7 linked regions of the Ovis aries genome follow. The protein of the gene in region 6 purifies or fractionates together with the protein of the main gene of each other region. This does not show direct contact. Links are inferred from orthologs where the notes say so. Each region holds a gene or a part of one and is shown on either strand. Other genes may lie near its edges.

Region 1 (4,010 bases), on a different chromosome or scaffold from region 6:
CATTCTGTCCCACCTAATTCTATGTTCTAGGTTGAGTAAAGAAAAAAATCAACGATTAATACTGGTCCAATATATCTTCCCTAAAATGAAAAAAAGGTATACATTTTTTAATTTACCAAGCAGCTGGTCAGGACCCAGATGCTAATCCTTTCTGAGCTATCAACAGTAGGTTAAAAAAAAAGAGAGAGAAAATCTTATACAGTGAAAGAGCCTTCTCTGCAATGTGCATGTAGCCTCTGAAATAAGAACTTTATAACTGTATTATTTTCTTATATTTCCTGTAAAGCATCAGGAAAAATTGAAGAGCAGAGTTAGTGAGGGTGCCTTGTCCAAAATGAGATAACAGAGTAAGAAAAACAGGAAAAGCAGCCAATTCTTTTTTAAGGACTGAGAAAACGGTCTAGTTGGTTTGCTGGCTTAGGGACCTAGCAAGTGTTATACTGCTGTGACAATTCATGTATGAACACTTTTCTTCGTGTTTAATAGAATACCTGTTGATGACCGGCCTTAGCATCATTAATGCAGTTGGGAGGTCAACCAGCTTGAATAGTTCTCAAATTCCACAGTTTGAATCTCGATGAAAACAACTTGTTTACGACATATTTTACTGTTTGTGTTTCTTCTGTTCTAAGCTGGAGCGTTTCTACTGACAAAGGAACCCAGAAGCAATTACCATCAGTTCACTACCAAAACAGCTCAAGGAGGTTTCTTTTTCACAGTGGCCCTACAAGAAGCAATTCTTCCTAAAGGAATATTATTCTCTTATTCAGAGAAAGGGAGAACTTTTCCCGAGTCTTGCGACATAGCTTCAATGGCAAGTTCAAGTCCAATGATCAAGAACTGGTTCGTAGGCCAGGTCCAAAGACACTATGCTGCCACCTTCCACTTTGGAGGCCACGGAATCTGGCATTCCGAGGTCCCAAAGAGCAACACAGCCCTAGATGGGAGTGGCGGAGATTCGGAAGATGGGAGGCGGTAGCTGTATCCGTAGAAGAGTTGGAGGCTTGCCACACTAAGGGTAGCACGCAAACACTGAGTCTTGCCCAGCCCAAGGAGGGAGGTACTTCTACCCCGCTTACCTCCCCTTTTCTCTCACAGGGCACCCGGAGACCGCCACAACAGGGTTTAGACTCCAACTATCGCGGCCGCTTCCATGTTTCCTGAAAACCCTAAGGAGGGCCAACCCGGCAGCCCACGCACTTCCGGCCCCGGACCCGCCCCAAACACCCAAGTTCCACAGCGCCTCAGCCTTAGGGCCGGAGATAGCCGAAAAATTCCGATTATGGCTAGGCCAGAGTCGACAGCTTCCGAACGGATTCGATTCAAAACCTCGGTAAGACGAAGAGAACCGAGCTCTGAAAGCAGGATGCGGGAGGCGGGGAGAGGCTGGGAGGCTGGAAAGAACCAATTGGTGCCGATGTGCAGACGGAAACACCCGAGCACTTCCGGAGGAACCCGGGGAGTTCTGAGTGGTAATCGAGGGGTTGACTATGGCAGTGGGCGGGGCCAACTCGGTACGTTCGAAGGGCGTTGGCGGAAATTACCGAAGATGCCCGAAGCCGTCGGGACGGACCCGAGTACCTCACGCAAGATGGCGGAGCTGGAGGAGGTGACTCTGGACGGGAAGCCTCTTCAGGCGCTGCGGGTGACCGACCTGAAGGCCGCACTGGAGCAGCGAGGCCTAGCCAAGAGCGGGCAGAAGAGTGCCCTGGTCAAGCGGCTCAAAGGGGTGAGGAGACGGCGTTGCCGGGGTGTCGGAGGGAAGCGGACCCGGTAGAGCCGAGTCTCTGCCGCGGCGCAGGCGCAGTGTCCGGGCTCGGCGCGAGCGAGCTCAGGCCGCCAGCGCGAGCCTCCGGATCCGCGCGCACGGTGGTTGGCGAGGCTCGCGCTGGAGTAGAAATAGCGCCGGTTCCCGCCTTAACGGTAGCGGCGCGAGCCCAAAATGGGAGGGTGCGCGCTACTCTCCTGGAGTGTCTTAAGCTCCTTCCTCGTTCCCCCACCCCCTCCTTGTTTGTGTCTGTGGTTTCGGCGCATGCGCTGCAGAAGGAGTTAAATCCCACTACAACCACCGGCGTTGCTGGCCTGAGGGGGGCGAGTTGGGCTGGGTCGGAGTTAGGGGTATAGTTGGCCGGAGGGGTTGATGGGGTTGGTTATTGGTATCCGAATGAATAGAATTGGGGTAGGGCAAAAATGTCTGCTTGACTAGATTAGGAGGTGAGATGAAGAGAAGCCTTGATTTGAAGGGACTTGGTTAGCCAGAAGTGTATATTTTATAGGGCATCCTGAAGCAATTTGGGTGGATAAGAGTTTGGTGAATATTGATGAGAGAGGTGAGGTGGGCTGGTATGTATTGGGGATTTTGAATCTGCTTAAGTAGATTAGGGTGGGATTGCCAAGAGGTAGACGGATGAATTGGTGTGTTTATTTGGTGTAAATGGAGGGAAGGTGAGGATCTCTTGATTTTGATTTGCGTTAGTTAGGATACGTGACCACTAGTACGGTTTTGGGGGCTTCCCTGGTGGCTCAGAGGTTAAAGCGTCTGCCTCCAATGCGGGAGACCCGGGTTCGATCCCTGGGTCGGGAAGATTCCCCTGGAGAAGGAAATGGTAACCCACTCCAGTATTCTTGCCTGGAGAATCCCATAGACAGAGGAGCCTGGTAGGCTGCAGTCCACGGGGTCGCAAAGAGTCGGACACGACTGAGCGACTTCACTCACTCACTCACTCAGTACGGTTTTGGGCTGGGTTGGCTCAAGGGTTAAGTTGGCAGACCGTTGCTTATACTGAAGCTGACAGTTTCGTGTGTGTGTGTTTATAAATTTGGTAAATCTAGTTGCCACTCTTTTGGAAACAATACAAGTTCATTTGAGTAGATCTAATCTGGGTAACTGATCAAATAATTCACTGAGGACAAAATCATGGTTTCATGTGTTTGAACCTGGTTTGAGTATTTGAAGTGAAGGGCCAGATTTAGAAGGAACACTAGTCAGAAGTGCAGAAGACAATAGCGATTGTAGTACTGTCAGATTTTATTGCATAGCCAGATTTCTTCAATATGCCTGCATTTTACATCTGTACATTTGGTAGCAGTAACCATGGCTACCTTTAAGGGTCTTCTGAAGAATGAGAACAGTATTAGTAAAGGGCATTTAGGTCCTTGGAAAAGTACAGTTTAAGTGTGTATGGTTAGTCATTGCATTTGATGAAGAGATTGGGGGAGGGGTATTTTTTGCTTTTGTTTTTCCTGGTTTCTGACTTTTGCCCTTCTCTATACCAGGCTCTAATGCTAGAAAATTTACAAAAACACTCAACCCCGCATGCTGCATTCCAGCCAAATTCCCAGGTAAGAAAGAAGATTCATTACCGGGGTGAACTCTGAATGCACAGAGACAGGGAAGGACATGATGTTGTATGTTTGGCGCTTGGTTTCTCACCAGTATTTTCCTAAGTTCCTTGGGTTGAAAATGTTTTCCTACTGGGACAATTGAATTCTAATAAAGAAGTCAAGAATCAGAAGAGCTCTAAGTTAATTTTTGATTCTTGAAATGGTGTGTGCAGAAAGATGTGGTTCCAGTTGATTAAGTGGAGTGCAAGGGTCTGAAGTCATTTATTTGACATTGATTTGAGAGAAGTAGTTGATGTCCTTGTAGATATGAAGTAGACAGTCACCATGGCAGTATAGGAAAATACCTCCTGATCCAAGAAGAATTCTTGTGTTGACATAAATTTTCCAAGAAATCAATCCTTTGGGGATCATCCACCATTATCAGTGTTAATATTAACTATGGAGTCATTCCTGAGCATTGTTACTTGCAGCAAGAAACTTAACCTTTGGAGACCTTGATTTCCTCAGTTTCCCTGTATCCGAGATGAGAAAAGGTTGAACTAGATCGATAGTTTTATAACTGCTGAGATTTTGTGGAGATGCTTTTGGAGGCTTCCCACAGGAAATTTCTTTCCAAGTGAGCAGCAGTTCACATTTCCCCCCTAAGCTAGAATAGCATTGAGTTT
Region 2 (3,928 bases), on a different chromosome or scaffold from region 6:
AGAGGAGGAGGAGGAGGAAGAGGAGGAGGAGCAGCAGCCGGCCACCACCACAGCCACCAGCACGGCGGCCGCCGCACCGAGCGCTGCCCCAAGCGCAGGGTCCACAGCCGGTGACTCGGGGGCGGAGGACGGGCCTGCTCCCCGCGTCTCCCAGCTGCCCACCCTGCCTCCGCCCATGCCCTGGAACCTGCCTGCAGGCGTGGACTGCACTACCAGCGGCGTCCTGGCCTGTGAGTGTCCCCCAGGGGCCTAGGGCAGGCGGGGGCAGACAGACGGGATCCAGGAGAAGAAGGTCATTTGGGGATGAGCTTGGAGGCAGTGGTGGAGACACCTTGGAAGGGCTGGGTGTATAATGACCAGGACCAGGAGGACCTCAGGTGGGCGAGGGCCAGTCAACATCTGTCCAGAAGACTCCACGACGTCTGGGTGTGCTGGAAGAGAGCAGCAGGGTCGCAGGGGCAGCAGGCAGCCAGGCCACTCCAACACAGCCGGGAGAGGTGGGCTGTGTCCTGGGGTCTGCATAGAGGCAGCCTGGAATAGGCTTGGTGGAGGAACTGGGAAGAATGGGGAGAGCAGGGTCCCTTAGGGGACGCCAGTAGTCTGCTAGACTGCAGACGTGGGGAGCGGCCACGGGGGCTCAGGACCAGCCCCACCCCGCACACCTGAAGTCCTGAGAACACAGGCTGTGGGCGGGCTCTCGGTGCCTGAGGCCCACTCTTCCTGGTTGGTCCTGAGCGAAGACCTGCAGCCAGGGTGGGAACGAGGGGGCAGCAGTGGTTGGGGGAGGCTCACCCTCTCCTCTTGCATCAACTCCCGCTCCCCACCTCCTGCAGTGACTGCACTTCTCTTCAAGATGGAAGAAGCCAATCTGGCGAGCCGAGCAAAGGCCCAGGAGCTGATCCAGGCCACCAACCAGGTGGGCTTCCTGGGGAGGAGTCCCCGCTGCCCCCTTTCCTGTCCCCTGCTTCGGGTTAGGAGAGGACTACAGCTCCTGGCAGGCTCTGGAGCAGAGTATCGACCAGAAGAGGAGCCTGTTGCCTCTGGGACTGTTGGGAAATCAGGGTGGGAGCAGGGGTACCGGTTCCGTCGTCCCCTCCTGCTTATCCTCTGACCTTTCCCCACAGATCCTCAGCCACAGGAAGCCACCCTCAAGTCTGGGAGTGACCCCAGCTCCTGTGCCCACCTCCCTGGGTCTGCCCCCTGGCCCTTCCAGCTACCTGCTGCCTGGCAGCCTCCCGCTGGGAGGCTGTGGCTCCACCCCTCCCACACCCACTGGGCTGGCTGCAGCGTCTGACAAGAGAGAGGGCAGCAGCAGCTCCGAGGGACGAGGGGACACAGACAAGGTGAACTGGGCTCGGGAGAGGTGGGTTGATGGTGACGGTTCTGCCGAGATCACAGCCAGATACTGAGATGCAGGGCCTGAGGAGAGCTGTGGACTGATGCCAGCAGATGAGGATTTAGATGAAAGGGAAGTCACTCAATTGTAAGGAAGGAAACTTGTTTTTGATTAGACGAGAGGGTGGGAAAGGGGTTCTAGGCAGGTTTTTTAAGAGTTTCATATCGGGGTGGGGGTAGAGAGAGAGATGGATATGAACACACACTGGTATTTACGCACATACCCACTGCAGTCTGCCCCTGGGTTACCTGTCTCTTTCACTGACCCCAGTCTTTTTGTGTAAGCGGGGCACGGGGTGGTATACAAACGAAAGATCAAGCGTCTGTTGGTGGATGGAGGGAGGAAGAAAGGATACAGGGCAAGCGGGGTTTTTTCTGCTCCTCTAGCTGGCTGCTCCTGGGTCTCAGGGCTTGTGTGCCTTTTTTTGGTGTGGACACTGGTCACTGTTGTCTTGTCACCAGATGATGGCGCTGTTCACCCTTTCTGCAGCCCGCGTGAGGTGCCAGAAGGCGGGCAGAACAAACCCTTGTGTTGTAAGCCCCATATAAACAGAGATGGGCCACAGCTTTGATGGACGCTTGCCTGTGGCCGGTGCCATGGGCTGCAGGACAGGGTCGGTATGGGCTCTGTGACGAGCAGCAGGTCCCTGTGCCACTGGGGAGGCTGCCCTGTTTGTGCCCTGCCGTTGTCTCGGCACATCTGAGACAGAGGTGGGCCACAACCCCTTTCTCTTGGCCACATGTCTCAAACCCACTCCTGTGGGGCTGGGGAGGCCTGAGGAGACGCCCTGGGGTGTCCATGGCTCCCCCAGCAGCAGCTTGCCCGACAGCTGGCATTCTTGTCTCCGGGGAGATCCTGCCCTGAAGTGTGGGGTGTCCTGCCCTCCCAGGCCTCGGTTTTGCTGCCCCCATCTCTCTGAGGCAGCAGGGAGCAGCCGCCTGGCTCAGGTCTGTCTCCCTAATAGACTTAAGGGCAGCGGACACGTGGATCCTGGTCAGGGATGCCTGGGCCAGCCCAGGGTCCAGCCTGGAGGAAATGCTGGTGACCCCGAGAGGCCCAGGCCTGGCCTGGCTGGCAGGGCGGCTGCAGCAAGGGCAGACCCTCATCAGGACTTCACCTCCGGGAGTAGCTGGGTGGGCAGGAAGTTTGAACCGGCAGGCTGGTGAGTGGAGGCAGGCTTCTGCAGAAACTCACCCAGCCTTTGCTGTCCCTCCTTCCCACCCTGTCACCACCTCCCAGTATCTGAAGAAGCTGCACACACAGGAGCGGGCGGTGGAGGAGGTGAAGCTGGCCATCAAGCCGTATTATCAGAAGAAGGACATCACCAAGGAGGAGTACAAGGACATCCTGAGGAAGGCCGTCCACAAGGTGGGGCCCAGAGGAGACACATGCACGGGGTGGGCAGGGGGGAGACTGCGTGATGGGCGTGAGCGGACAGGCAGACAGGGACGGTGGGTCAGTCTGGAAGGTGAGAGGGAGATAGGATTTCCTCCAGCAGACATCAGGGGGTCAAGTTCAGACAGCCTGGACCTGAGGGCGGGCCTCCCACCCTGGGGCCCTGGGGGCTGGTGGTGACTGCGGCTGCCCCTTGCCCCCCAGATCTGCCACAGCAAAAGTGGGGAGATCAACCCAGTGAAGGTGAGCAACCTGGTGCGCGCCTACGTCCAACGCTACCGCTACTTCCGCAAGCACGGCCGCAAGCCAGGGGACCCTCCGGGGCCCCCACGGCCACCCAAGGAGCCAGGGCCCCCTGACAAAGGCGGCCCAGGCCTGCCCCTGCCCCCTCTCTGAGATTCCTGGCCCCGCCCCTTTCTTCCTTCGCTGCCTCTCTGGAATTCTGGACGTATTTATGGCTCCGTTTCCCGTGTCCCTCCCCCGTCAGTGGGATGATTGGGGGAGGGCTGCTGCGGGAAAGAGGAGAGCCCCTGCCCTGTCCCACGCCCATCTCCCTCGCCCCAGAGCCTGTGCCCCGCGCCCAGACCCTTTGTTCGTGCCCCTCCCTCAGTTTCATTAAAGGTTTCATGAAATGTTACCCCTGAGCCCCATGATTTTTAACCCTTCTCAAAGTCCAGTTTGGGAAGTGTCGGGGAGGAGACTTGGCCCAAGTGAGAGGGTGGTTAGCGGGGAGGATAGACAGTGTGACTTGGGGAAAGTGCAGCCGTCTCACCAGGGCCTCACTCTTCGTGTATAAAGTGGGGGCTGAGGATTAAGAAAGACCCAAGGCAGGTGAAGCACTTGGAACCAGGCCTGGCAGCTCCCCAGCTGTTGCTGGGGTGGAGAGGGAGGGCGGGGTCTCCACCCACCTGATCACTGTCTGCCCAGCTCAGGGCAACTGGCTGCTATCTGTCTGCTTTGGAACTGCCCCAGAAACCGGATCTTTGTCCTCCATTCAGTTGGATTCTTTCTCCTGCTTCCCTGAGGCTGGGGTGATCTAATTGACTCCCCCGAGATAGAGGGAGACTGAAGCACAGCCCAGCAAGGGCCACACAGTAAGTCAGGCCTCTGTCAGCCCCTGTTTTTTTTTTTTAACTA
Region 3 (4,206 bases), on a different chromosome or scaffold from region 6:
TATAAAAATAACTCTCTACAATAATCAAGTACTTTAACAGAATGCACTAACAAGTAGTTAGTTGCTGATGCATAACCAGTACCTTGTTCCAAATATTCCAAACTCTGCTTCTGTCTTTTGATAATAGTACACATCCGCCCGAGAGCAGCGCGTTTCAGTTGCTTGCAGCGGTACAGAGAATCACCATATTTCATGAGCCGCACATAATCTTTAGCAACGCTGAAAAACAGAAAAACATGTAAGATTTTGCTCTCCTTTGACAGTAACTTCAAAAATACTACAGTAAGAAAATCCCTTACTTGTCCACTAAATTTTTGGCAATGTTTATTTGTCCTAGAGCCAACTTGTAATGATCCTTGTCATAGAGAATGTTCATCAAATCTGCATAAAATGGATGAATATCCTGTAACAAGAACAACAGAATGGTCACCTTGGTCTGGCAGCTTCTCCTCCTGTGTGTGGATAACACTTGAACATAACTTCCTAGGGAAACACATCACACCTTCTGCTCTTCCTCATCACCCACCCTCCCCCCTCAATCTTCTCCCCAGGTCTCTCTCAGTGACTATTTAGTCACAGAAAAAAAATAGAGTCAGCAGGTAAGTGAAGTCCACCTGCCCTGCGCAGGCCTGGCCAGGCCCAACTCCATCTGGGCACCAGAGCCCACCACTTGGGCTCGAAAAGAGAGCTCCAGAAATACTTTCCCACCCATCCAGCCAGTCCCATCAACCTGTAAATGTGCTGTTATTGCCGAAAACTTAAGAAGAAAGTTTTAAAACCTCCGTCTCTTTGCTCCTCTTCTATTTGTACAGGCGTTTCCTGGTGCTGTCACCTCATCCTTACTGCATTTTTCATCCTCATGTACTTTCTGAAGTACCTGCACTTTCCCCAGAAACTATACCCTCATCCAGCCAGTAGCCACTAAGCACTAACATCAAGTCCTAGAATTTTACACCAGCAATTTCTGTCACATGAACCAATCTCTTCTCTCAGCCTTAACCCACCTTCAGGGACTATCTCAGGGCAGTTGAGGCTCTCAGGCTGTATTGCAGACCCCACATCCATCACTACCTCAGCAACTTCGCAACCACGTGGTCCCACTCAGGGGCTCCACAGGCAGGGTCCACTCCTGCATCCTGCAGCTAAGCACACAGGCAGATGGCTCCGTGCAGCAGGGCCTAACTTCGGGGGCTCAATGAAGAAGGCAGCACCCCATGAGACTGACTCTCATAAGAAAAGCACACTGACCATAAACCGCAGCAGCAAGATAACACACACTGCTGGGCCTCAAGCCACTGGCCCCATCTGAAGCCACAGGAAAGGGAGCTTTGGAAAGAAGGAGAGGACGCATAGGCCACCAGAACCTTAGGGTTCTGAATTCAGTCCACAGCTTTCAGAATCCCAACTGTCCCCACAGCCTAGAGATTACAGAGAAAGCCCAAGGCTTTCAGAGATCGGAGTTTCACTGGGGAAACAAGATACTAAGGAATCAAAAAACCTCTGATCTGCTCCCAGTTTTGTTACTAACTTTCGGAGTAAACTTTGACAAGTCAATTATTTCCTCTTTCCTTCACTATCAGTCAACTAAGTAGACACACCTGGTTTAACCTTGCCTGCAGGTTCATATTTACATAATCACTTTCCCCCCCGCAGAGTCACTTACATCCAATTTGGGGAAATCTGTCAGAATTTGTGAGAGTCTGTCATGGTAATTCTGCTGAGTAAATTTGACTTTCCTCATATAAAAATGTCTAATGCGATGGATTTGATAATGTTTGTGGATAACTGTCGGAGTCTTTCGCTGAGTCTTCGATAATGTCAGGTCAATAAAGTCCTGCAATAAAATAAGACAGTTACACCAAAAATGTCTCCTTTCACCCACTTATTTGAAATCACCTTAAAAGACTAATGTTCAACAATGTATTTTAAACTACAAACACTTTTTCTATTTTAAACTACGAACACTTATTCTACTTAAATCTTCAGTGTAAAGCTCTGTTCATCTTTATGGTTCCTTGCCTTTATGAAAACACTCAGCAAATGCCTGCTGAAATAAACTTTATCCCACACTCTTGACATTATCGTAAATTCCATACACCTAACACCATCTGAAAGGTAAGTACCCAGAAAAATCAAGCACAAAGCAGGAAAAAAGCATGTTTTAAGGATAAACAGTTCTACTATTTCGGTTTGTGTATCTCCAGTTTTGACAGCACACACAAAAAACCAGTGTTTTCAATTTCCCAAGGTAAAGTGGACCTGAAAGACTCCGGCATGAAGTCCAGAGCAAGCCGTCCAAGAATATCGGCGTGCGACGCTGTCTGCTCTGGGAAGCACAACGCCGGCTCTGGGAGGCACGCTGCCGCCAGTCGTCGCAGACCCACCTACTTCATAGAGCTTCCTGACTCTCCCCATCTCCTCCGGGCAGATCCCAACCCCCTGAGGGCCCTAATCTCTGAGGAAGGACCCCCAGAACCCAACCCCCGAGGGCCCTAATCTCTGAGGAAGGACCCCCACTCTCTGGGAGGACCCCAAACCAGGGGGCCCAAATCTGGAGAGAACGTGATCTAAGAAGGGGCCCGGCGGGGAAGGCGGCCCCTTCCAGCCCACCGTTACAGACCGGAGCTCCAGCGTCCCGCGACCTAGCCAAAAAAAGCGGAGGCAGAAGGGCCCTTGGGGCCTCTTACCTTGGCGGACGGCACCACCGTGATCTTCTTGAAGTTGTAGTGCGCCATGCCGGCGATTCGCCACGAGGGGACAGCCGTCCGGACATCCGCCGAGGAGCCGGGGAATAACTTCCGCCGAGAAGGACGGGACTTCCGCCTGCGGTGCGTAGGCAGTGCGTCAGTTCCGGCGCTCCCTGCTCCCCGCGCACCGCCTCGGAGTCACACAGCGCCCTCGCCGGGCCAGAGAAGGGGTCGCAGGGCCAGGGCGGAGGGCGCGCGCGGCGGGAGGACTGGGCCGGGAAGGCGGCGCTGAGGTCCGGTCCCCACCGCGGAAAGGAGAGGGTCTTGAGAGGCCTCCCCTGGCATCTGTGCTGCCCAGCCGGTCCAGGGCCTGGCTGACCTGAGCCAGGGGTCCGGGGGGCCTTTAGGAGCCTGGGGGGTGAGGGTGGGCGGGTCAGAGGGGCTCGGAGGGCTCCAGGGGTCTCGGGGAGTCTGGGGTCTCCGGAGATCGGGGGGTCTGGGGGAGTGGGCCCGGGCTCTGGCTGGGTGAGAGGAAGGTGGGGGGCGCGCGGGTCTGCTCTTTGCGCGCTCACATCGCTTCTCCCCCGGTGAGCGCGCTTCCTTTTTTTTAATTTTTTGGTCGGTGAGGCGGGTGGGATCTTAGCTTCCCCACCAGGGATGGAACATCCGTCCCTGCACTGAAAGCTCAGTCTTAACCACCGGGCCCCCAGGGAAGTCCCCTGCTGAATCTTATTAAATAAAGGCCGTGGAGGCCCAGCCGTGTGCGACAAGGGACACCTCTCCTCCCCCGCGAGGCCGCGCTGGCGACCCTACGCCACCACCCCATCTTGGCCCCACCGGAACTGCCAGCCTTCCCCCAACCCAGGCCAGCCGCAGGCCTTTTGTCCCTCTTCTTCCTCAGGAGCCCCTCATCTATCCCTCCGCCTCGGTGACTCTGGCTCTTGTCTTAGCATCTCTGCTCCCCTGACCGTGGCTGACTGACCTGCCCACTGCCTTGCCCCAGCGAACTCCACCTGGAACTTTGCCCCCCACCTTTGCTCTGCCTGCCAAGGGTGGCCCCAAATGCCTGTATGGACCAGACACTTCCAGTCAGTTGTGCACTGACTTCCGGCACGATTCCAGATTTGCAGCACAGCCTTTCTGAGAATCAGACTGCAGATGGGTCCATCCCCAGGGCCCTGTGAAGGGGGGCAGTCCCTCCCCTCCTACTGCCACCGCAAGAGCGGAAGGGGCAGCCAAGAGCCAAGAGCAGGTTTTGACCTGCTGTGAGTGCAAAACAGGCTGCTGGTGAGATGAGGTCAGGAGGAAGGAGATGGCCCCCAAGACCCACAAAACCCTACAGATGAGCAGGGCAGGAAAAGCCCACCCAAAGCAGAGGGCTGTGGTCGGCTCCATGGCTGCCCTCTGCAGCAGACGGAGAAGGCTGGGGCACTGAGACACTGGCCTCCATAACCTGCTAATGGGTGGCCACTCCCTTGTAGAGCCCAGGACCACATCCGTCGGGAAACTGTACCTGCGT
Region 4 (3,500 bases), on a different chromosome or scaffold from region 6:
TCTGAAATGGGAAACCGTTTTCTCTTTTAAATTAAAACTTCATTTATCAACTTACTGATAAGACATTGTAGCTATTGAGAAGAAAAGATGAGTAAAACTAAGTTTAACTACAGTTTATGGAGATGATTGTTGACTTCACTTGGAATACCTATTAAATATTTGTGTCATTGAATGTGTTTGGGTAATATTTGCTTTCTGCACTGTTTTTTGTTTGTTTTAAAGGACATTAATAATCTAGTTGTAAATTCTGTTTTTCTGTGTTTCTTATTTAATATTTCAGACTTTGACCACGCAAAACACTAAGAATCCTAAAAACACCACTGGTAGAAGTTCAAAATCCAAAGAGGTAAGAAACAGTCCACTAATATGGACCCATCTGTTCCTTCATTCCCTAAGAGTTCGTCTACCTTGTAACTTGTGTCTCTCCTATAATAATTAGCTTGATATAGAGCAAGGGACGGGAATGGGATATTTTATTTTTGACCTTACTACCAGTTTGTTTTCTGACCTTGAGCTAAGCTAAATAGTTTGTGTTCTTAGTGTGGGGCAAAAAGTTATACAGGGATGGAAAGGGAATTAGAAAGGGAGACACCTCCAGTCTCTTCTCAATAAGAATAGGTTGTAATACAGAATAAAGTCTTGTGTGTAAAGGAGATTGACTTTTGACTGGAGTCCTCTCCAGTTTGTGGTCCTTTTGGTATGGTTCAATTTGCCCTAACTAGATGGGTTCTAAGATTTACTTTCTGGTTATTGACATCTACTGCCAAATAAACATACTATAATTTTTATTTGGCTGTTTGGTATTTTAGGTTTCTGTTACTCATAGATTATTTTTTCAGTTATTTTACTTTTTTCTTCTGGTAGGGGATAAATTTGAGCCTATTTTATTAGAGCAAGGAGAAATGTTACTAGCTTAAAAACCCAGAAGTAAGGATTATGGTTGGTTTCATGGCTTAATAAATTGATCGTACAGTTGTGTACAGATTCCCCCTCCTGCCCCCAAATTAGTGGGGTATGTATTCTAATGCCATTATTATGTTTGCTAGTAATTGACCATTGATAGCATACTAAATGTGTAGGAGGCCTGCCAGGAATTTATTTTCTTTAGTATTAGCACCATTTTTCAAATCACAGATAACTGTTTCTTTTTAATTTTTTTTTTATTGTAGTTATATTTGTCATTAAGTCTTAGTAATAAGTTTTCCATGTAACTTCCTCAAAACATAAACCTTACATAGGCGTACCTTAGAGATATTACAAGTTTGGTTCCAGACTGCCATAGTAAAGTGAATATCACAAGAAAAGTGAGTCACATAAATTTTTTGGTTTCCCAGTGCATGCAAGTTATGTTTGTGCTATACTGTACTCTGTTCAATGTGCAGTTGCATTGTGTCTTCAGGAAGTGTACATACCTTAATTTTAAAATTCCTTATTGCCAAAAATGCTATCATCTGAGCCTTCAGTAACTTAGTAACTTTTGTAAATAGAAGCATCAAAGATCGCTAACTAGGGATCATCATAACAAATATACTAACGATGAAAAAGTTTGAATAATGTTAGAATTAGTGAGATGTGACAGAGACATGCAGTTAGCAGATGGCTGTTGAAAAAGTGGAGCCAGTAGACTTGCTTATCACAGGGTTTTCACAAATCTTCAATTTGTAAAAAATGTATCTGCAAAGTACAGTAAAGCAAAGTATGCCTGTATCTTAATATTGCATATCTTAAAATATGTATTATATGTGTAATTCATCACTGGAACAATCTAGTTAACTGTTAACTTTGTAGTTTCATTTGAAGTGCTTTTAGTAGTCTGTGAATTCTTCAAAACTCTCAGTAGATATCATTTAACATATGGAAGCTGTAAGCTTTTACATTGTATTGTTTGATAAGTGCTTTAAGTGCAGTATTTTTGTGTGTCATATTTTAAAACTCATACATCATTTAGGAAATAATTGTAATCTTACTGAAATTGGATTGATATTGTTAGGATTTACCTTTGGCATTGTTTACTCTTTGGCTTTTGGGGGCTTTGAAAAATAATTTCAGCTTTAGGAAACATCTCTGCTGAAATTCTCATACCGTCTCTTGAAATTTTCGCAAATGATAGATACATCATGCACATTTATTGAAACTGGACCTAGCCAGTTATCAGTAGTTGTTCACAGTTCTGATTTTTTTTTTGTTGTTGTTCCAAACAGGAACCTTTATTTCCATTTAATTTGGATGAATTTGTTACTGTGGATGAGGTTATAGAAGAAGTAAATCCTTTTCAAGTCAAGCAGAATCCACTGAAGGGAAAAAGGAAAGAAGCTCTCAAAAATACCCCTGCCTCTGAACTGACCTTGAAGAAGAAGAAGGGAAAGATGTCTGCTCCTCGTGTGGTTGAGGGAGAGTTGTCTTTTGTAACATTGGATGAGATTGGGGAAGAGGAAGACGCAGCTGCACAGCTAGCACAGGCTCTAGTCACTGTGGATGAAGTAATTGATGAAGATGACATAAATGTGGAAGACATGGTTAAAAATTCAAACTCACTTCTTACATTAGATGAGTTAATTGATCAAGACGACTGCATTTCTCACAGTGAAACTAAAGATGTTACTGTGCTGTCTGTGGCTGAAGAGCAAGATCTTCTTAAACAAGAACGCTTGGTAACTGTGGATGAAATTGGGGAAGTAGAAGAGCTACCTTTAAATGAGTCAACAGATATCAGTTTTGCTGCTTTAAATACTAAAGGAGATGAGGGAAATACTGGAAGGGATTCTATTGGATTCATTTCTTCTCAGATGCCTGAAGACCCTTCTACCTTAGTTACTGTAGACGAAATACAGGATGACAGCAGTGATCTGCATTTAGTGACTTTAGATGAAGTAACTGAAGAGGATGAAGACTCTCTGGCAGATTTTAACAACCTTAAAGAAGAGCTTAATTTTGTTACTGTTGATGAAGTTGGAGAGGAAGAAGATGGAGACAGTGATTTAAAAATTGAGTTAACACAGAGGAAAAATGACCATCCCACTGATAAGAGAGGTGATAGAAAAAAGAGAACTGTGGACAAAAAGAAGACAAAACTTGAAGCTTTGTCTCAAGTGGGCCCAGTAAATGAGAATGTTATGGAAGAAAATCCGAAAACCATGATTGAAAGACGCTCAGCAGGTAGATACATAGAAGTGGTAATTTTTGTTTTATGAGAGGACTACATTTAAATTTTTTAAAATATATTTTATAGTGTTACTGATAATGTCATTGTAGCCAACAGATAGTTGTGGCCAAGTGATATTTTCCAGAGAAATATGTTCAGGATTCACAAAGTTGTCTTAGTTCAGATCTGAGGCCTAAGGTACTGTATCAAGAAAAAAATAACAAAAACAAGGCAAACTAGGGTACCCAGATGAGAGTTGGAATGCCAATGTTATATTTGTATTACTGAGAATAATACAGCTTTTGATAAGTAGAAGGCTATTTATATCAGACTGCCTCCTAGTTTTTGCTTAGACATA
Region 5 (3,965 bases), on a different chromosome or scaffold from region 6:
TCCTCATTTAGTAAAGGAGATAAGTTATCCCAGGCCCCACAGCTCGGTAACAGGACAGAGATGGCCCCCAGATCGTCCTTGCCTCTGTGTCAAGTTGCTCCTTTTGTGGTGTGCATCTCGTGGTCTGCATTTAATTCACATCTCAACCTCAACCTCTGGAGAAGGAAATGGCAACCCACTCCAGTATTCTTGCCTGGAAAATCTCATGGACAGAGGAGGCTGGTGGGCTACATAGGGTTAGGGTTAGGGTTACAGTCCATGGGGTCACAAAGCATCAGACACGACTGAGCACACAACCTCAAACAATGTAGAGGGCTCGCTCCTCCCTTGCAGCCTGTCTGGCCCATTGGTGTAAAATACAATATACAGTGACAAGGACCACCGCTCCCCAAGACCATGCTTCCAAAATCCCAACCCAGCTTCCAAACCCCCAGCATCCCATACAGGTTTTCTTAGATGTTCAAAAACCCCAAATGTGCTTTTCCACCCCCACCCTCTGCAAGTGGTGAAGACAAAGAAGTGGAGAGCAGGGCCCTTTGTTATTCTTTTATCTGTGAAGTTTACAGAAAGGGGCGAGAGAGGAGGAGGCTCTGCTGAGTGAGCACTCTGCCCCCGCTATGGCCCTGACTGTACCCACTGCCCGAGTGTAGACTTAGTTATCTCCAAGGATGAGCAGCTTCGTATCTTCAAGCCTTTTAATTTTCTAGGTGATAACAGCAATTCCAGGCACCTGAAACATTACCCGTTGCTGTTCAGCCAGCTTATGCTTTTCGTGTATGTGTGTGTAGGGGGGTGAAGGGGGGCATCTATGTAAGTAAATACTTCTCTAAGTGTTCCTTTCTACAACATTGCTCTAGAATGTCCTCCTTAACTTAAAAATTTCTGCTCAGATACTGAATCATTTTACATGTCTAAAAGGAATATTTACTCTTAATTCTCTAGTTCCCTGGCATGGGAGAGAGGGAGGGAAAGCAGCAGAGTGGTGCAAATCCAGAATGCTTTCTTTTTCCTCATAAGTAGTGCTTTTCAGAGCGTTCGGTGTCCCGCTGTATGGATGTGTCACTGTGTGAGATGACAACAGGATTTGCTGGGAATGTGGGCCACTATTGTATCTGCCTTACGTAACCACGTGGAGTGGTGGCAATGGGCGAGCAGCCTGGGATGTAGGCAGTGCTCTGGCTAGTCACCCTCCAGAGGCCATGAAGACCGCGCAGTTCCTCCAGAGGATGTGGGTCCAGGCTGTTAAAAAGTTGGGGAGATTGAAAGGCCATGTGAGTCCCTCCGCAAGCTCTCCTTTCCCCCTTTTCTTCCCCAACCTTTCTTTGTGGGAAATTGGGAGGGGGAGCCTTCTCACAGTGATTCCTTTCTCCTCTGATTTATTTGTGCTTCTGGCAGCCCTCAGGAACAAACTGTGAGATGCAGATTGTAGTCATTGGTGGGTTTAAAAAATACTTGTCTTATATTAGGCAGACTTATGTGAAACTGATAGCCTCTTAATGGGATTTACGTATCAAAGGCTGCTGTTTCCCCTGTGTTGGGAATCTGCAAGCAGGGTGTTGCTTTCTGGGGAAGATGTTTGTTTGTATTTGGGTAATTGTAATTTCTTATTTTGGGTAAAAAGCTTTCTGCTTCCTTATCCAGCAGAAATCTATATTTTTCTTCTTACTATTATCTGTTAGTATTCTTTTTATCTTGGTTTCTAAATGATAGAAAAAAGTTTTTCCCTTGTTCTTTTTTTCCCCCAATGGATTGAACATGGAGTGCACTATAACATGTATAAGTGTTTACTTCTATGATGGGATTTTTATCAAACATGTCCCTTATGGGCAGATATTGATTCATCTCTGGCTCTGACTTTCCATCGCTGAAAACCAACAGTTTGTAGATAAAAAGCTTAAAAATTTCCTGTTGGGAGAGTCAAGGCAGTGAAGACTTTTAGTAACTGCCTCCTAGTTGGTTTTTATCACATTTCGATATTCTTTATGTAAAATATGGAATTTACCTGTTTGGCCAAGATTTTTCAAAGGAAAGAAACTTTAACAACTAGAGAGTAATTTTAGAGACAAATCAAATAACTATTTGTCCCTTTTTCATTCTGCATGTATATACGTTACTGCCAACACAAAGCTTTTTATTTACAGTTTTTAAAAACGGCCCCCTTTTATCTTTCTGTGTTGTCTAGGAATGAGTCATTACAATTTCGTGGGGATGGTTATTCACCTTACATATAGAAAAAGTGAAAGTGATGTGGGGGAGATCACTGGAGATCCTCCTGCTGCCGGAATGTTGTCTCTTGGGTTGAAAAGGAGACTCGGCTTCTTCTGCAGCCTTCTGCTCCTCCGGAGCCAGCCTGCTTCTGCACCTTGCCTGCCTTCATGCACTTCTCAAATTACTGCTCCCATCCCCTCCTTGCCCCCTGGCAGTCTGAATGATTGCACTTTTGCTCTTTGGCTTTGCCGTCTGTTCTGCATTAACAAATATTGGTATGAGGTCCTTGGGCTAGGAATCATTGGGTGCCCTTTGGTGTTTACTCATGAGCCCACCTTTCCTCCCCCCCCCCCCACCGTTTTTTAACTTACAGAGTGTTTGGTATATAAGAGAATTATATATCTAAATCATAAAGTGTAATTATAAAATATACTCGTGAGCCCGTCATGATACCCATGGACCCTCACTAGGGTGGACCCAAGGTCCTTTCTCACTCATCTACCTCATCCTGGGTCACACACACACACAAACACCTCTAAACAAAAGTGTGCAGTGCAGTGGCGTCCCGTATATTCACATTTCCATCTTTGAATTATGTAAAAATGATAGCTATCTATATAAACCCTTGCAGGATGTTTTTTCACTCCGTGTTATGTTTGAGACACTCCTGTGCTGTGGGTGTGTGGCTCTAGTTTTCATTGCAGTATAGCATTGCATTTTAATAACATATCACAATTTGTTCGTCTGTTCTGCCCTTGATAGATCATTCAGGTTGTCTCAGTTTGGGCTGTTGAAACATTCCTGCTGTGAATACTTTGTGGATCTGTGCGCACATACTGGCACATTTCTCTTGGGCCTCTGACCAGCAGAGAAATCATTGCATCGTGAATACGAGTCCCTTTACCCTGCCTGATATATGTATGTACTTTTCCTATGGTCTTGCATGTGAAGCTTTCTGAAGGCTAAGCAGCTCCCTGCCTGCATTCATGCAGTGGCTAAATATTGATGGCAATTCTCGGATCTCTGCACAGCCCAGCACAGGTTGGGTGGGGCCCATTGGCCCAGTTTGAAAGGCGTGGTCTCAGCTGTTTCCTAAGCTGATACATGACTGCAGGCTGTCCCTGGGGATGTATCGGGAGCTGATTTTCTGTGATTGTGTAGGGTGCTCTGTGTTTCTAGAAAGATACAGATGAGGCAGAGAAGACAGTCAGTGATTTGCTGTTTTGGGCACACCCGTGGTTGAGTGACTGAATAAGTGAAGGAATGAAAGAATGAAGGGTTTTCTGTGAGACCCTTGTAAAAAGTCACAGCTTTGTGGGTTGTGTGCAACATGGTTTATTTTTAATGCTCAAGAGAGCTATTAAAATTTATTTCACTCTAATTTCTTTACCTTTAAAATTAAGATTTGAAATTTATCTCTTAGTATATTCTCTTAAAATTTAAGTAGTTAATGGGTTATGTCACAGCCCATTAACTCTAGGTAAGAAAAGGTTGCTTATAATCTGAGCAGTTTCATAACAAGTTGATGAAGTCTTTGGCACTTGGCAAGGTCTGATTGATTTAAAAATTTCATTCATTCCTGTGATTGTCACAGTAGTGGTAAGGGATTAATCCTTTCTCTGACAAATTGAATTTAAATTACTCCTGCAGGCAGCACAGGAATACTTAAAGGCAATTTAATCTTATTAAGGAAGAATAGTGAATTACAAAAGCGAGGTTCATACTAGGAGAATGTTTTGAAAATAAAATTTTGAAGT
Region 6 (3,500 bases):
CATTTTAGTTTGCTGATTCCTAGGATGTCATTGTTTATTCTTACCATCCCCTGCTTGATCACTCACAACTCACCTTGATTCATGGACCTAACATTCCAGGTTCCTATGCAGTACTGTTCTTTGCAGCACCGGATTTTACTTTTGACAACCAGACACATCCACAACCGAGCGTTGTATCCACTTTAGCCCAGCCACTTTATTCATTCTATTAGTACTTCTCCTCCACTCTTCCCCAGTCGCATATGGGACACCTTAGACCTGGGGGACTCATCTTTTGGTGCCATATCTTTTTGACCTTTTTTAATAGTTTGTGAAGGTTCTCATGGCAGGTATAACTGGGGTGGTTTGCCAGTCCCTCCTCTAGTGGATCACATTTTGTCAGAACTCTCTGCTATGATGTGTCTGTCTTGGGTGGCCCTGCATGGCATAGCTCAGAGCTTCATTGAGTTATGCAAGCCCCTTCGCCACAACAAGGCAGTGATCCATGAAAGGGATTAAATATCTGAAACCTTAAATTCTTACTGAGAACACTTTGCTTGTCTCAAGTGTCTCATTTTCATTGAAATTCATTTTAACACATTTGGATACTGGATCATATTAACTCTTACCTAAGCAGCTTCACACACAGTGAAACAACCTAAGAACTACGAAAGAACTAAGGTGGAAAGTTAGGAACAACTTGTTCATGAGATGGTAGTGAAAGATATTTTTGGAAAGATGCTGACATTTTAACTTTGAGTTAATATTTGATGATTGAAGTGAAATTTTAGTTGAAATAATTAAAAATAGTTTAAACTTTCTAAAAGTCTTATTCCTTTTACTTCCACAGACGGGAAGTCATCAGTGTACTTGTCCATTAATTTCTTGTACTTCTCAGAATTTCTCTTACTACTCATATATAAGAACTCCATGTGATACTTCAGTTTGCCCAAAGAAGATGCATGAATGCCAGTGAATATATACAGGCTCATTGAATTGTGTTCCCTTCAGAATTATAACCTTATTCTCTATGGAAACATATAATGCTATGTTTCGTACTGTTGGTATTTGGACATTTTAAACATAATTTAAACATATTCTAGTTGAAGTATTATCTAAAACATTAAATATTAATTTTAAGGTAAAGTCAAAGCCTCGTGGAGATGGGGAACTTTGTTTATTGCTGTGTATCAAACATCTATAAGCATATGCAGCCTGTTATAGGAGCTCAACTGATGCTCAGTCAGTGAAGTCATGTGAAAGTATTTCCAAGGAAAAGTTTTTAAAATGAATATGAGGATTTTCATCTTGGTTAAGAGACTCATGTTCCTTCTACTTTCCTTGCGAAATCTGTGCCTTCACTTACTAATGTTTTGTCATCTTAAGATTGTTTGGGCTTCCCTGGTATTGGCTCAGCTGCTAAAGAATCTGCCTGCAGAGCAGGAGAACTGGGTTGGATCCCTGGGTTGGGAAGATCTCCTGGAGAAAGGCTACCCACTCCAGTATTCTGGCCTGGAGAATTCCATGGACTGTATAGTCCATGGGGTCACAAAGAGTCGAACACGACTGAGGGACTTCTACTTTCAAGATTGTTTAGCCAGAAACTGAAGGTAGACAGAAGCATTGGGTTTTTGCTGAGAACTTTTCCGAGTTGTTCAGTATTAGATATCTTCTGCTTGTCTTTTCCTCACTTCCTTGTCTAATGTGATCAAGACACCAAATGACTTAAAATGTTTGAATGAAGATGTTTATTAAATGCAAATGTTTATTGAGCATGTAGAATTTGTAATATATGGGAACATGAACTGTATTTTAAAATATTTTTTTTCCTTATGAAAAGAAAGAATTCCCCTCTTATGGAAATAATTCCAGAAAAACTTTGGCCTGGCATTTAGGTCACCATACTCTGTAATTTTTGCTATATATATATTTACACAGACACACACACATGGTAAGTATGTGAGTATCTTGGTTTAGCAGTTTCTTTTAAATCAGTACTATATAGTTTATAGCCTGGGTACCAAAGCTACCTAATTCTCCTTTCCTACAATATTAGAAATGTACAGACATCATTAGCCATTATGGGAATGCATATCAATGAGATACACACTTCACACCCACAAGAGTGACTAAAATGAAAAGACAGATAACAAGTATTGATCATCCGGAAAAAACTGTAATCCTTGCACATTGCTGATGGGAATGTAAAATGATGCAGCCATAGATAGGATAAAACAGCTTGGCAGTTTATTGAAAGACTAAAGATAGAGTTACAGTATGACCCAATAATTGTGCTACTAAGAAAAATAAAGACATGTCTACATAGAAACTTGTACATGAATGTTTATAGCAATATATTTATAGTAGCCATAAAATGGAAAGAACTCAAATGTTCATCATTGAATGACTAAACAAAATGTATTTTCAGTGGAAAATTATTTGGCATCTAAAAAAAATGAGGTATTGCTATGTGCTACACATGGATGAACCTTGAAAGTATTGGGCCAGGTACAAAAGACCACTCTGTATCATTCCACTTACATAAAATGTCCAAAGCCAGGAAAGTAGATTAGTGGTTGCTTAGGGCTAGAGGAGTTGGAAGGAGATGGGGAGTGACTGCTAATGGGTGCAGTGTTTCGTCTTTGTGTGATGAACATGTTCTAAATTATATAGTGATGACCGTTGCACATCTAAAAACCATTCTATTGTACACTTAAAAGGTTGAATTGAAAAAAAAAGGGTGAATTGTGTGTCATGTAAATTATATCTCACCAAAGTTGTTATTTTAATAAGCATATGTTTAAATGCATTTTCTTATATGAGCATAAATTATCTCCAGAATGATATACACTGGTTGCTTATGGGAAGGAGCTGGGTTCCTGTCGGGCCCAAGTTCCTATTGTGCCTTGTAATGACTGTAACTATTTTACAAATAAATGTTGAATAATAGAAGTATTAATAACTCCTTCCTGATTTTATGTGATCAGGTCCTTCAGGGGTTAGATTATCTCCACAGTAAGTGCAAGATCATTCATACTGACATAAAGCCAGAAAACATCTTGATGTGTGTGGACGATGCATATGTGAGAAGAATGGCAGCCGAGGCCACCGAGTGGCAGAAAGCGGGCGCTCCTCCTCCTTCAGGGTCTGCAGGTGAGAGGCTGGGCCAGCTTTGTGTCAGTCTGTGTAGGGGCATTGAGAGCCTGCAAAGTTGTTCATAGGAAGCAGTTGAGTTAAACGTGTACATGTTAGGAACTTGCATAAGAGCCCGATGACTGGTAATAATTAGACCTTTTTCTTGAGAAGGAAGATGCCCCAGTTAAGTCGTACTTTAATATTTGAATTACTTAGCTTTGTCCTCCCTTAAAAGGTCACTGAATTCTTCTTACCTGCTGCTTCATTTTCATTTGAACTCTGTCTGCGTCGGCCACTTCTCTACAAAGGAGTGTATAGTAACAGGTTTCCTGTAGCCAACCTACAATCGTCAGCATGCTTCCTTGTCTCCATTGAGCATAGTTACA
Region 7 (3,500 bases), on a different chromosome or scaffold from region 6:
CTGTGAATTGGTAGAGAGAATGATTTTTAAATATAGTTTAAGAATTGTAGAATGTTTTTGTCAGCAACATATGGTTGTCATATTGTGGCTGCCATTTTATGTTGCCTGGATTTTACTAAATTGTTATCTTCTGTTCCATTCACTCATTTCCTGATTTGTGTATTTTTAAACGAGCCTCTCATTAGATGGGCATTTGTTTAGCTCTTCCAGATGTCTTCATTTGTCTTAATTTCTCTCTAGTAAAGGCCATATATATATATTTTAACTTATTTATTTTTGGCTGTGCTGGGTCTCCGTTGCTCGTGTAGGCTTTGTCTAGTTGCAGGGGCTGCTCTGTAGTTGTGGTATGCGGGTGTCCCATTGAGATGGCTTTTCTTGTTGTGGAACATAGGCTCTAGGTACCTGGGCTCAGTAGTTGTGGTGCATGGGCTTAGTTGCCCTGAGGCATGTGGGATCTTCCCAGACCAGAGATTGAACCCATGTCCCCTACATTGGCAGGTGGATTCTGTACTGCTGGACCACCAGGGAAGTGCCATGTATTTGTTATGAGATTAACTTGTGTTTAAAAAACTTTAATAGAATCACTAGTTCTGTATTTCTGGTCAATCTTGACTTTAAGTTTTTAAAGAAGCCTTAACATTTCCAATAATTCTGATACCATTTTTCCATAATTCACATGAAATACTTAGATTTATAGCAGTGGTTAACCATTTGTTCCTTAAACTTTGTCTATGAAATAAATCTAAAGTTCTCCTCAAATGAATTATATTGTGAATATATTTTATAATTAGGAAAACACACAAACCGTTTTACTATATGATACTTAGAAGTAGAGATTTGTTATTTTTACTGTTACATTTTAAAGAATGAATTAATGTTTTCCTCCACTGCTATTAGGGTGATATTTAAAATTTAACATATTGCTGTCAAAGTAATTTCAACATCTTTTTTTACTTTTTCCTGTTGACCAACTTTGGGGGATGTGATTTGACTTTTTTTTTTTTTGACTTTAATATTTAAGTATATTTATGACCTCTCTTGTGGCCAGAAGAATTTATCAAGTGGATGTGTTTTATAATTAATGGAAGAACTGTTCTTATTTCTAACGAATATTTTCATGTAGGTGTTTCAGGAGCCAGCAGAGGAAGAACGAGATGGCAGAAAAAAGAAATACCCTAGTCCCCAGAAGACTCGTTCAGAATCTAGCGAACGAAGGTTTGTGTTTATCTTTAATTAGGAAAATATTGATAACTCACTTTTCAGTTACCTTATAAGGACATTAGCAGGATTTTTGACATATGCTCTACTCCTTTCATTGTAAAATGATTAGAGAAGTAATTTTTTTTTCCATTCCCTGTGTTTTTTATCTTTGTCATACTTTCTCTTCCTTTTATAAACAATAATCATTATCTGCTTTCCCCAGGAGCTCAGGGGTGGGAGCAGTCTCCTTAGAGAATATTAATGAAATGTTCCATTTGGTTAGGGGTGCTCAGTATTAAAATTGTCCATAGCATTTTATATTACAAGTAGTGCAATTTATATGTTGATTCGTCAGCCTACCATCAAAAAATTAGTTTTTGTTTAGGAACTCTTTGCTTTGAGCTTTTTGTCTTTTCTAGTTTTAAATATGTTTTTCCTTTTACCCCTCCCCATGCTTTGGATTCACCTCTTTTTTTCATTTCTCCCCACCCAGTATACTTGAAGAGAATGTTTTTTCTTTTTATGTAATGGATTAGAGGAATTACGCAGTGGTTTTACGGCTCTCTGGAAAAGCTTAGAAGTTACGAATTTTGATGAATCACAGAGGATAATTCATATTCCAGATTTGTTTTCTGTCTGGTTTCTGTAGTGTATCTATGGCTTTCATATCTGTATATTACAGGACACGGGAGAAGAAAAGAGAAGATGGCAAGTGGAGAGACTACGACCGGTACTATGAGCGGAATGAACTGTACCGTGAGAAGTATGACTGGAGAAGAGGCAGGAGTAAGAGCCGGAGTAAGAGCCGAGGCCTGAGTCGAAGTCGGAGTCGAAGCCGGGGGCGCAGCAAAGACCGGGATCCAAATAGGAGTGTTGGTGAGTCCAAGTGGCTTCCCCCTAAAACTCTACAGTTGCTTGTTTTCTTGTATCACAGGGGTGTCAGAACATCACTTTGATGGAAACATTGAAGGCAACAGGAGAAGGAGGCGGCAGAGGATGAAATGGTTGGATAGCATCACTGACTTAATGGATATGAATCTAAGCAAACTCCGGGATATAGTGAAGGACAGGCAAGCCTGGCATGCTGCAGTCAGTCCATGGGGTCACAAAGAGTCAGACATGACTTAGGGACTGAACACCAACAAGCAACCTTTAATATGTCTGAGCAATGTAAAAGCTGTAATTGTGTCACAAAAACTTGATTTTTGTTACAAAATCAGGGCTCTATTCTCAGGGTGGAGTCAAAGGAGTTTGAAGAAAAAGAAGCCATTTGTTCAGGTATCATAGGACATGTCTAAATTTAAGTCATTTTATATAATTGAAACACATGTCCTTTAATCAACAAAACTATTACTGGTGGGAGAGGGTTGCCTCTTTCCATACCCACACCCCCACCCCCTGCCTGAAAATAATTGATTTGCTTTAAGGTTGGCTAGAGTATTTAAAAAGAAAAAAATGGCAGTAGATTACTGAGATCCCAACCTCTGATATCCCAGGATATCAATTTGAAAGTCAGTTCTTAGCATTCTTACTAAGTCAGTAGAGAAACTGATCTTTCTTCATTATGTATTGATGTTGATGTTATAAAAATGATTTTATACAAGTTACTGGTGAAGATCCATCACATTGTTGATTTTCCTGGTTTTAGACTATAGTGATAATGAGAGCATTTTAAGATATGGACAGCTCAGTAAGTTTACTTCAGTATTCTCATCTTGCCTTTTCTGTGAGAAAATAAATATAGTTTAACAACATAGAAGTCTGGTCTTACTTGTTTCTTGTCTTTATTTTGTCTCCAAAGCAGAACATAGAGAAAGATCAAAGTTTAAGAGTGAAAGGAATGACTTGGAGAGCTCCTATGTGCCTGTGTCTGCACCAGCTCCAAACTCTTCTGAGCAGTATTCCTCGGGGGCACAGTCTATTCCCAGCACTGTTACTGTGATCGCACCTGCGCACCACTCTGAAAACACAACGGAGAGTTGGTCTAATTACTATAATAATCATAGCTCTTCCAATTCTTTTGGTCGAAACCCACCACCAAAGAGGCGATGCAGAGATTATGATGGTAAAAATTCTCTTTTATATTGTACCCCAGAGTACTAGTAAAGTAAATGTTGCTAGTAGTGCATACCATTTCATTACAGTCTGGATGTTATTAAAAGGGATGAGTGAGGAGGAGAATCTCTTTTGGCATATGCTTCTTTACTTGTTGGACATAATAGTTTGGTTCTTGTTAACATAGTGTTCAGATTTGACCCTTTAATTTATGTTTTGTTTTCCTCTTTACTTCCGACACTGTA

The links.
Region 1: the proteins of SRPK2 (region 6) and ACIN1 purify together in Homo sapiens (affinity purification with mass spectrometry; 3 studies listed by BioGRID and IntAct, with this or other methods). This does not show direct contact. The link is inferred for Ovis aries from reciprocal best matches to the Homo sapiens genes SRPK2 and ACIN1.
Region 2: the proteins of SRPK2 (region 6) and SCAF1 purify together in Homo sapiens (affinity purification with mass spectrometry; 3 studies listed by BioGRID and IntAct, with this or other methods). This does not show direct contact. The link is inferred for Ovis aries from reciprocal best matches to the Homo sapiens genes SRPK2 and SCAF1.
Region 3: the proteins of SRPK2 (region 6) and GTPBP4 purify together in Homo sapiens (affinity purification with mass spectrometry; 3 studies listed by BioGRID and IntAct, with this or other methods). This does not show direct contact. The link is inferred for Ovis aries from reciprocal best matches to the Homo sapiens genes SRPK2 and GTPBP4.
Region 4: the proteins of SRPK2 (region 6) and ZNF638 purify together in Homo sapiens (affinity purification with mass spectrometry; 3 studies listed by BioGRID and IntAct, with this or other methods). This does not show direct contact. The link is inferred for Ovis aries from reciprocal best matches to the Homo sapiens genes SRPK2 and ZNF638.
Region 5: the proteins of SRPK2 (region 6) and TJP2 purify together in Homo sapiens (affinity purification with mass spectrometry; 3 studies listed by BioGRID and IntAct, with this or other methods). This does not show direct contact. The link is inferred for Ovis aries from reciprocal best matches to the Homo sapiens genes SRPK2 and TJP2.
Region 7: the proteins of SRPK2 (region 6) and RBM27 purify together in Homo sapiens (affinity purification with mass spectrometry; 3 studies listed by BioGRID and IntAct, with this or other methods). This does not show direct contact. The link is inferred for Ovis aries from reciprocal best matches to the Homo sapiens genes SRPK2 and RBM27.

What each region holds. Positions count from the first base shown.
Region 1 is NC_056060.1:21,576,730-21,580,739, forward strand, and holds the start of ACIN1 (apoptotic chromatin condensation inducer in the nucleus), read left to right. Parts: upstream 1-1,210; 5' UTR 1,211-1,282; coding exon 1,283-1,729; intron 1,730-3,276; coding exon 3,277-3,342; intron 3,343-4,010. Other genes in the region: C7H14orf119 (uncharacterized protein C14orf119 homolog), read right to left, coding at 492-517.
Region 2 is NC_056067.1:55,789,947-55,793,874, forward strand, and holds the end of SCAF1 (splicing factor, arginine/serine-rich 19), read left to right. Parts: coding exon 1-230; intron 231-833; coding exon 834-916; intron 917-1,124; coding exon 1,125-1,343; intron 1,344-2,635; coding exon 2,636-2,764; intron 2,765-2,995; coding exon 2,996-3,187; 3' UTR 3,188-3,428; downstream 3,429-3,928.
Region 3 is NC_056066.1:45,938,087-45,942,292, forward strand, and holds the start of GTPBP4 (GTP-binding protein 4), read right to left. Parts: upstream 2,801-4,206; 5' UTR 2,736-2,800; coding exon 2,688-2,735; intron 1,835-2,687; coding exon 1,664-1,834; intron 404-1,663; coding exon 300-403; intron 220-299; coding exon 83-219; intron 1-82. UniProt on the Homo sapiens protein: Involved in the biogenesis of the 60S ribosomal subunit. Acts as a TP53 repressor, preventing TP53 stabilization and cell cycle arrest.
Region 4 is NC_056056.1:93,306,815-93,310,314, forward strand, and holds part of ZNF638 (zinc finger protein 638), read left to right. Parts: intron 1-280; coding exon 281-346; intron 347-2,201; coding exon 2,202-3,156; intron 3,157-3,500.
Region 5 is NC_056055.1:67,460,396-67,464,360, reverse strand, and holds the start of TJP2 (tight junction protein ZO-2), read left to right. Parts: upstream 1-1,165; 5' UTR 1,166-1,199; coding exon 1,200-1,271; intron 1,272-3,965. UniProt on the Homo sapiens protein: Plays a role in tight junctions and adherens junctions. Acts as a positive regulator of RANKL-induced osteoclast differentiation, potentially via mediating downstream transcriptional activity.
Region 6 is NC_056057.1:47,828,549-47,832,048, reverse strand, and holds part of SRPK2 (SRSF protein kinase 2), read left to right. Parts: exon of another isoform or gene 1-2,966; coding exon 2,967-3,132; intron 3,133-3,500. UniProt on the Homo sapiens protein: Serine/arginine-rich protein-specific kinase which specifically phosphorylates its substrates at serine residues located in regions rich in arginine/serine dipeptides, known as RS domains and is involved in the phosphorylation of SR splicing factors and the regulation of splicing.
Region 7 is NC_056058.1:55,175,664-55,179,163, forward strand, and holds part of RBM27 (RNA-binding protein 27), read left to right. Parts: intron 1-1,123; coding exon 1,124-1,215; intron 1,216-1,882; coding exon 1,883-2,076; intron 2,077-3,001; coding exon 3,002-3,265; intron 3,266-3,500. UniProt on the Homo sapiens protein: May be involved in the turnover of nuclear polyadenylated (pA+) RNA.